2 linked regions of the Arabidopsis thaliana genome follow. The protein of the gene in region 1 interacts with the protein of each later gene in a pairwise test. Each region holds a gene or a part of one and is shown on either strand. Other genes may lie near its edges.

What was found.
Region 2: the proteins of CUL3B (region 1) and AT4G08455 interact in a two-hybrid assay, tested with the Arabidopsis thaliana proteins (one study listed by BioGRID).

What each region holds. Positions count from the first base shown.
Region 1 is NC_003070.9:26,201,286-26,206,507, forward strand, and holds CUL3B (cullin 3B), read right to left. Parts: upstream 3,511-5,222; 5' UTR 3,269-3,510; intron 3,172-3,268; 5' UTR 3,158-3,171; coding exon 2,997-3,157; intron 2,922-2,996; coding exon 884-2,921; 3' UTR 701-883; downstream 1-700. Other genes in the region: AT1G69680 (ran guanine nucleotide release factor, putative (Mog1/PsbP/DUF1795-like photosystem II reaction center PsbP family protein)), read left to right, coding at 3,863-3,937, 4,017-4,052, 4,152-4,289, 4,600-4,686, 4,766-4,813, 4,901-4,977, 5,136-5,222. UniProt on the Arabidopsis thaliana protein: Component of the cullin-RING ubiquitin ligases (CRL), or CUL3-RBX1-BTB protein E3 ligase complexes which mediate the ubiquitination and subsequent proteasomal degradation of target proteins.
Region 2 is NC_003075.7:5,373,640-5,377,607, forward strand, and holds AT4G08455 (BTB/POZ domain-containing protein), read left to right. Parts: upstream 1-2,074; 5' UTR 2,075-2,170; coding exon 2,171-2,512; intron 2,513-2,812; coding exon 2,813-3,283; downstream 3,284-3,968. Other genes in the region: AT4G08460 (hypothetical protein (DUF1644)), read right to left, coding at 3,739-3,968.

The sequences.
Region 1 (5,222 bases):
TCAACCAAACCTACACAAAATTATGCACATAAGCACTTATTGTTTTAATAATCGTTCACCGGATCGAGCCATTGTAACAATATGTATACCACAAATGATAGAACCTTACTTTTACTTCCTTTTGTTTCCTTAAGATCTTTCTTTTCCTTTGATACGCGAAAAAAGTCAAAGCAAAGGTCCATCATGGAGGTCAAGTCCTGTTTGATCACACAGTCCTAAATCAGTACTTTGAAGATTGAATTGCATGTTAGAGAAACTGGTGCTACTTACACAATGAAATTCAGATTCTGATGTCCCACAAACTTCAATCAACCTAAGCTTGTCTACCTTAAGCTACTTCAATCACCCAAATCAATGCACACATAAGTCTTTAACATTCCATTATACCTAGATGCTGCGATTTCAGGACATATAACAGCTTTACAAATCTCGCCCTGTGATTCAATTAGTCAATACAAAAAAAATTCAATTTCAATGAAGAAGGAAGGAGATTGTATCATTTTGGATTGAGTGTAAAGAGTTATCTTACGATTCCGATGATTGAAGAATCGAATTAGACATCGCATAAACGGCCAAATTCTGCAGCTTTTCGTATGAGAAGATTGTTATTATTAGAGAGACCAAGCTTTTTAGCTACGTTGGAGATATCCGTTAAGCAACTGTGTGATGCACAGATTAGTCCGTTAAGCAAATGCTCGCTCTGGTTATATATCTTTGATGATGTATATGGGTTTGATCAATAACAGGCAAATCAATATTTTCTTTTCAAAACGGAAACAAAATGTTTATAACTTACCAGACTACAGAACAAATAAGAAATGCTGACTAACAGAAGAAACGATGCGAAATAAACAGAGGGACCGTGTAATCAATCCAGACTTTTTTACGCTAGATAGCGGTAAAGTTTCCGGTCTGTATTATCCCTCTCCAAGAAATCACGCTCAATGAGTGATTCAATTCTCTTCTTTATCTCTGTTGGGTTTGCCAAGAACCGCGTCTGCAACTGTTTGGTGACCTCTGCGATTATGTTGTTGTGATCCAACACTCGTCTAGACTTCATTATCCTCACGATGGCTGCTTCGATCTGAGGTTTTCTGTCTTCTTCTACTCTCTGTCTTGTCTCTTGCTTCTCTGGTTCTGTCTCCTTTTGTGCCACCACAGTTCCTATCTTCACTTTGTAGAACTTGCTTGCGAACCTGTCGTTCACAACAAACCAGTCCTCCTCTGCTATCTCCTTGCTCATTGGTTCTTTTCTTAGCACGTTTTTACCTTTTACACACGCCATTGACTGCAAGCAACGCTTTAGGTCTGGGGTGGGGATTTCAGTTGCCTGTTCGATCTCTTTGTAGCTTAGTCGATCAGAGTTGTTGAACAACATAAGGACACACATTTGGAAAGTCGAAACGTTTAGTTCATGCTTCTGACCCTTTCCAAACACTGCTTTGATATCTGCTGTTCCCATATTCGTTTGCCAAGACAATCTCCTACCGGTGTGAGTCCCGAGGTAATATGACCTGAACTTCTCACACAGAACAGAAACTTCTGCAGGTAGGTTACATTGTATGGTTGGCTGTGTGGGCCAAGAACCGGTTGTGAGAACCTGAACAACAAGTGTAGGTCCTTCTGAAAGCTCGGGATGGCTATTATAAAATCCTAGCAGCGTGTCGTGTGAGGTCTTCATGTCAGTGAACATACCTTCAAGTTTCGAAGTGAATTGATACCCACATTCCGTCTTCAGTTTCACTATCAGATTCCTCTCTGCATCATCCGACACAGTTTTTCCAGATAAAAGCCTTTTCGCCAGATGCTGTTTGTAATATTTCTCAAAAACGTCTTTCTCCTGTAAGTAGCGAAACAACATCATCACCTTATCAAGAATAAGATCGACATCCTCCTCTCCCACACCTTTTAGTCCTTTTCGTAGCTTATCATCAACAAACAGGGAGATAAACTCAGGAGAACGTGTGTTCAAGTTGACGAAATACTCAAACGAAGAATTTAGCGCATTCTGGAACGTCTTATCGTTGTTAAATGCCATGTTGATAATTCTGTCATACTTATCCCGCTCATCCAATAGACGCTGCACAAATTCAACCGGATCCTTTGATTTCTCTGGATCAGTAACCAACTGTTTTCCCATTTCCCTAAGATGCAAAGTCATAACATCTCTAACCGTTACAAGACCATTAGCAACCCTACGGAACAAACTATACATTCTACCCATATCCTCATACTTATCATTCAAAAGCATATTAACCAAACCTGAATTCTCCATATGAACTAGTCTCTGCACATGGTTAGCAATCATCTCTCTTTCAACCACACTAGTAATCTTCGCTTCGCTCTTAGCATCCAAATAATTCACAACCCTTTCGACTTCTTCCACTAAAGGCTTCTCAGCTTTCTTCAAATACTCACCACAATCACAAGACTCAATAAACTCCATTGACTCAACCTTATAAAACTCAGCAGAAGCTTCCAAAAACGGCTTCTCAAAATCATCTTGATAAACAGATTCACCTAAATCCATAAACATCTTAATCACATTCCTCATCAACACCCTATCTATAACTTCACCAGTCCGTTCCTTATGAACTAAATCAAGAAGCGTATTCAATAGCCTAGTCTGAATCTTACTCGAATACACAACATTATCTCTCCAGAGATGAAGTCCAAGCTCATGAACATGAGTTTTCTTAGTAGTAGAAACGTAAGTACGATCCATATACATGAGAATATCCCTAATCATTTGCAACGCTTTGTTATGATCATTCCATTTCCTATTAAGCAATTCTAAAAATGCTCCTCCTTGAGCTTCTTCAATAGACTTACATATCTCTTTGAGATGAAATGTCATAGTGGTAACAAGTCCAGTATAAAGCTTATCACCATACTTATGTAGAACCATGTTGTATGCGTTTCTGAAATAAGCGACCAAAGTTTAGCAGAACAACAACAACAAGAGATGAATCAAAGTGAAATCTATGGAAGTGTACCTGTAAAGCTCTTCGAAACTGAGACCACTAGCGTTGTGATTGTAAATCTCATGAATCGCATGTTCAAGGATCTTCCAAGTTTTATCGGCGTATTTTGGATCAACGACGACTCGTTGCTTAAACGCTTCAATCTGGAAATTTCTCTTCTTCTGATTACTCATTGTTGAAAATGAAACTGAACCAAAAAGTAAGAGAGACCACAAAATCAGTTCAAAGGAAAATCGGAAAAAATTCGAGGAATAAATCATGATGATAGAAGAATTGATTAAAACCTTAGATCAATCGTAGAATCAGAAATTGGAGGTTAGGGTTTGTGATGAAGAATTTGAAGGTTGAAGTCTTGAAGACGATGATGATGATGATTGATGATGATAGCGGAAGAAAAAAAATTAAATCTTATTATTATCCCAGTGGTTTTGATTATCTCTATTTGTTTAAAATGGGCTAGATAAAACAGATGGGCCTGGGCTTTTGTTAAAAAAAACTACGGTATTAATTTAAACGATGTCGCTTGGTAATTCTCATTCTTCTCAATCGTGAATTTGCAGAGTGCAGACATTGTTGATTGAAGAACGCTAATCGTTTGTTTTTTTAATTGTTTGCGTTAAGTTAAAGCTACTTGTTGGGACGTCAAAGCAACGCTTCTTTCGATTCTGACTTTCATATAAATACTAAACTCCAACTTTTTGATTTCTCTGCTACTTTTGTTCTTCTCTTTTACTTCCCCAGATACATCAATCGATCAATTTGGTACTCTTCTCTCTTCTCTTTAATCCCTAATCGATTCTGTTATGTTTGTGAGTGCATTTTTTTTTTCTGGCAAAGTTTAGTTTTTTGAGGATTTTGTTTTTTGAATGTAGCAAAACATGTCTGTTGAGTTATGTTCGGTGAGGCCTTTGTTTGGTGGCGCTATTTCCACCGTCTTCCCTCAAAGATTTCAGGTTCTTTCAATAAAACCCTTTTCGCTGCTTAATTGAAATTCACTGGTTTCCTCATTTCTTCCTTATTGTGAATCTTCAGGATGTGAGTAATATCCGACAAGTTCCAGATCATCAGGTTTGGTGGTTCTATTCTCAGTGGCATTGTTTGTAAGTACATGTGTAGAAGAATCTCTAGTTTACTCTGTATTTGTGTTTGATTGTTTGGTTTTCACAGGAAGTGTTTGTGGATCCTTCAAGAGATGAGAGTTTGATTTTTGAGTTGTTGGATTTCAAGGCTGAGGTTGGTGACATTGGCAGTGCCTCTTGGTTCCTTAATGATCTTGCGAGTGAGCAAGATGCTGAAGGATTTCAGGTAATACCACTACTACACTAGAACTCTTCTTATGGTAGACAAACCAACTTTAAGAACTAGTGTTGTTATTTCTCTAGAATACATCTAGTATCTTGAGTACAAACATAGAGTTTAACGTGTATAGATTTCCCAAAGTTGGAACCTTTTTGCCTGTGATGATACTAGTGAGGCTGTTTTTTGGTTATTGTGGATTCAGTCTCTGAAACTAGTCGAAATAGAACTAATACTGGTGTGTTTTTGGTTAATCTTTACCAAGATTGATGATATATATGAAGAAGACAATCTAGTAATGTTGCTGTGTAATTTTCAGTTGATTGAGCAATCAGAGGTCATTGAGGCGCCTGGACTGTCTTTCAGAAACATCTCTGCTGTTGCGACAACTGCTATTGGAGAGATGGTAATGTCCATAAACATATGATGTCTTTGCTCATAATTTTCCTTTCTATTTGTTTTCTCCTTAACAAGGATCATTACAGGCTATATCCAAAGGAAGACAGGGAAGAGAAGCACAAAACCTAGTGAGAGTATGAAGCTTCTCCTTGTTCTGTCTCTCTATTTATTCTAAAGGGGTTTGTTACTTGAGACACCAACTGGTTTATATGATTCTGCAGGTATATGTGGCAAATATTCGTCTTAAGGGAGTTGATACAGATGTCTTAGTGACTGCCTATGAACCTATCCTGATAAAGTAAGTCCCACAAAGTTGAGTCACTCAGTTATATTGCAAGCAGTTGAATATAGATATGCATCGTTTTGATACAGAACTTGAATATCAAAATATGGTTATTGTTGTTGTTGTTGTACCACATGTCTTTTCATCTAAGGTGTTTGCGTATTATTGTGCAGTCCTCTGAGCGAAAGCGCGGATGCTGTGGGATCTGGTTTAGCTGTCCCAGCTTCACAATCTGGAAAAATGCCAATGTGTGATATCAT
Region 2 (3,968 bases), on another chromosome or scaffold:
TACATATAATAAAACTGTTATATTAATCTATAGGCAGATTTTTCCTTATTTATCATCTGGCCTGAGGAGTGTTCATATTTTTACAGGGTTATCATTAGGATTTTGCAGCTCTTAGGATCAAATAGACAAAAGATCATCATGTTGTCTACAAAGAGTAGATGGTTGACACTGAGACCGCCTTTTGCCTCTTTGATTCCTGGAAATTTTCCTTATCTTTTGTTAGGCCTAGGTTTGTTTATTCTTTTATCTTACCAAGTTCAATGTTGAAGATCTCATACTCGTTTATACAGAGTAAAGGACTCCTTCATAGAACAGTAGTGATGGCTTTAGTTTGGACCTGTCATTACCATTCACGAAATCTGGTGGATAGACTGATTCGTTTGGTATTCGATGAAAGTATAATCTTGAAATGCTTTAGTTTATCTCTATTTTTACCCTCATTTGGCGTGAGTTTGGTCACGGTATTGGTTTCAAGTTCAAACCTTTGTGACTTCAATCTTATCATGCCTCAAGTTTATTGGGTGGTGCATCTCGACTCTCTCGAACTTTTTGGAAGAAACCGCCATCGCTATTCTTGTCACCTCAACTGTTGCCACCGTCACTACCAAATTTTGAAAAATGTTCAATTATTAAAAACATTTTATTTTATTCTATACTATTTCAACATTTCATTTTTTTTTTGCTAAGAATGTAAATATTTCATATAATGAAAAAGTTTTAGGAATTACATGAAGTAGATCCTATGGTTTGGTCCTATGGCAAAAAAAGGATTAAAAACATGGAAGCAAAAACAATCGGTCCATTGATATCGATAAAAGCAGTGACGCTTTTGAAATCAATGAAGCGATAAAACGAGTCTGAAGTTTTCTAAATTATAACACCTCAAGAAGAAGCATCATGCTGTCAAACGGTAAAGATCGAGTCAAAGAAACTAAAACGAAAGGAAGCCTTTCACTGGTAACCCAAGAACCTGAGCCGTCAACGGTGTTGAAACAAGGAGCAAACAAACACCCACTCCATCTGCGTCATATCAACTCCGAAACGAGGCAGCAAACAAAAGAACACATCAAAAACAAGGCAAGACAACATCAAAGGGGCTTGGACATAAAACGGAGAAGCAGGATTTTAAAGTAAACCGAGAGCAGGATCGATGAAACACGAGAAATGAGAAGACACCTATGCAGTTTAGCCGTAACAAGCTACACGCTTGATCAAAGGAGCCAGACGCTCGAAGCTCCAAACACACACACCCGCAACATTCAGAAAATACGAGAACCAGACGCCAAACCGATATAATCCGAGCAAAATCACCGGATTGAGAGCAGCAAGAGAACCAAGCTCCAAGGAAGCTCTCAGAACTGACGTAAACGCAAAGAGACCTCAACAACCCTCCAAAAATCTACTTTCGTCGTCACGCAAGTTGGATCAGAATGGAAAGATGCAGCACCACTTGCCTCCATGCCGTCAAGCTCCGGCGACCATCACTCACACGCCTGAAGAAACTCGGACCCTGATGCCAAATCGAAGAAGAAAGCTGAGAACCTCAGCAACAGTAAGCCTCATTAAGAGGTAGCCCTTTCGCAGCGCCGGACACTGGAGAGGCAATCGGAAAAGACGATGAAAAGCTTTGGTAAATTTGAGAGAAAAAGTCGTCGCTTAAAGATATATATCATTTTTTAAGTTTAAAATTTATTATACTGTTTTTACATAGAAGTTTAGAATTTAGTATTTTAAAGTTAAAGTTAATTTGCGTAAATTCGTGGAAAATAGTATAATACAACATTATATTCATATAGATTATATGTCGTACAACTTGTTTATAACTATAAACACTATTGACCATTATCTAATTTCATATCTAATTTAAAAAAATTCAAATTATGTTTTACGCAAAATAGATTTAAAATGTTGCATTTAAAAATATATATATATATGCTCAAATTATTAATAATAAGTTAATAAAAAATGGTAATTTTTCCAATCCTCATCTTAGTTTTTCAAATAAAATGCTATATTAGTAATTATGTTTAGTTAATTTGGTTACCACCAAATAGATCCATAATTCCATATCATAAAATTATAACCACAGTGCGGATACGAACTACTCGTGTTAATTACTCCAAAAAAAAAGCAAAATCGCAAGAGAGACCTTAAACGACATCGTTTTCAGATGAGGAGACACCACCACCGATGCCAAATCGGCTCCGATAGCGAAACCGGATCCGAATCCGATTCCGATACCGACACGCCGATGCGATGCATCTCTTGTCGAGAAGAGTACCTCCCTCGCAACGCCGGGACCTGCAAGGAATGCTACGTCGAAGCCGGCGAAACTGAAGAAGAACTCAAACGCGAGATCGATGACCTCAAAGCTAAAGTTGCTTTCCTTCGCTTATCTTCTTCTCTTGATCATGGAACTAGTTCAACCTCTAGATCCTTCACTGATGTTGTTCTCATCGCCTCTGAAGATAACGCCGGATCTCCTCCTATTCCCGCTCATAAATCCGTTCTGGTTCGTTCTCACATCACTAAAACCCTAATTTCTCTGAAATTATTTGATTAATTTGATTTGAAATTTGTAGAATTGACTTGTGATAATCTCTGTTTTTGATGGTTTAGATATGAATCTATTTGATAGATTAGAAATAGAGAGAAAGAGAAAGAAAAAATATTAGGGTTTGTTGTTACTTAGGAACCATTTGGCTAATTTTGAGAGTTAGGGTCTGTTCTTGTGTTCTATGTTTTAGGAAGAAGAGCAGTGTTTTTGTACACTTGTGCTGAAATTGATGATATGTGTGAATATTGCTACCAGGTGAGTCGTTCTCCAGTTTTCAAAGCAATGCTTGAGAATGAAATGGAAGAGAGTCTAAGCGGCACGATCAAGATCAGCGACGTATCTTATGACGCTCTTCGGACTTTCGTATATTATCTCTATACAGCTGAAGCATGTCTTGATGAGCAAATGGCATGTGATCTTTTGGTCATGTCAGAGAAATACCAAGTGAAACATCTCAAGAGTTATTGTGAGAGGTTTTTGGTTACCAAACTCAGTCCGGATAACTCTCTCATGACCTATGCCTTTGCACACCAGCACAACGCGAAACATGTTCTCGATGCTGCGTTGTCGCAGATCGTAGAAAATATGGATAAACTTACTAAAAGAGAGGAATATATGGAGCTCGTGGAGAAGGATCCTCGTCTTATCGTTGAAATTTATGAAGCCTATCTCTCGAAACAGGTTAATACGGCAGCTGGAGGAACTAGTACGAGCAAAACTAGTTGAAATTTTCTTTATTGTCGACCTAAACAAGAGTAGATTCTGGTTTACCTTCATTTCGTTTTTAGGTATAGTATGGTTAGGGTCACCAAAACATGGGGTTTGTGTTTGTGAAGCACTAGAAATCGACCGGAGTTTAGTGTTCGTTGTTAAGAATGTATTTTAGTGGTCACCAGTTTGAAACCATGCTAAAGAAATTAAGAAAAGAAGCCAATGGAGATATTTTCAAATCAAATAAAAGTAGCAAATGAAACGTTTTAACACTTTAAATCAAAGGTAGAGAGGAACAAACAGCTCAAATCTTCCAAACCTGAAAACCTAAACCGCTAACTAAAAACTTTAATCAACAACCCTCTGTTTTGTTCCCACTCGCCTTCCCCTCTGCCGATATATAGAGTTCGGAGGTTAACTTGGTCAGACGGTGTAGAATCATCTGCCTTCCAAGCTTCCAATCATCAATCTTATGTTTGTCGCCTTCTGCTCGCACCTCTGCTTCGAGCCCACCGGTTCCTTATGATCATACCGCGAATTCCCCGGCTTGAGATGGCAGCCGAACGCGGTTGAAGACGGCCCAGGTCGAATGCTCCAAGCTCGAATACCCCACCTTCCATTTCGTCATCCGACGAATCACTGTAATCGTCACTGTCATCTTGATGATCATAACCATTGTATGGCTCAATCACATAGTCTC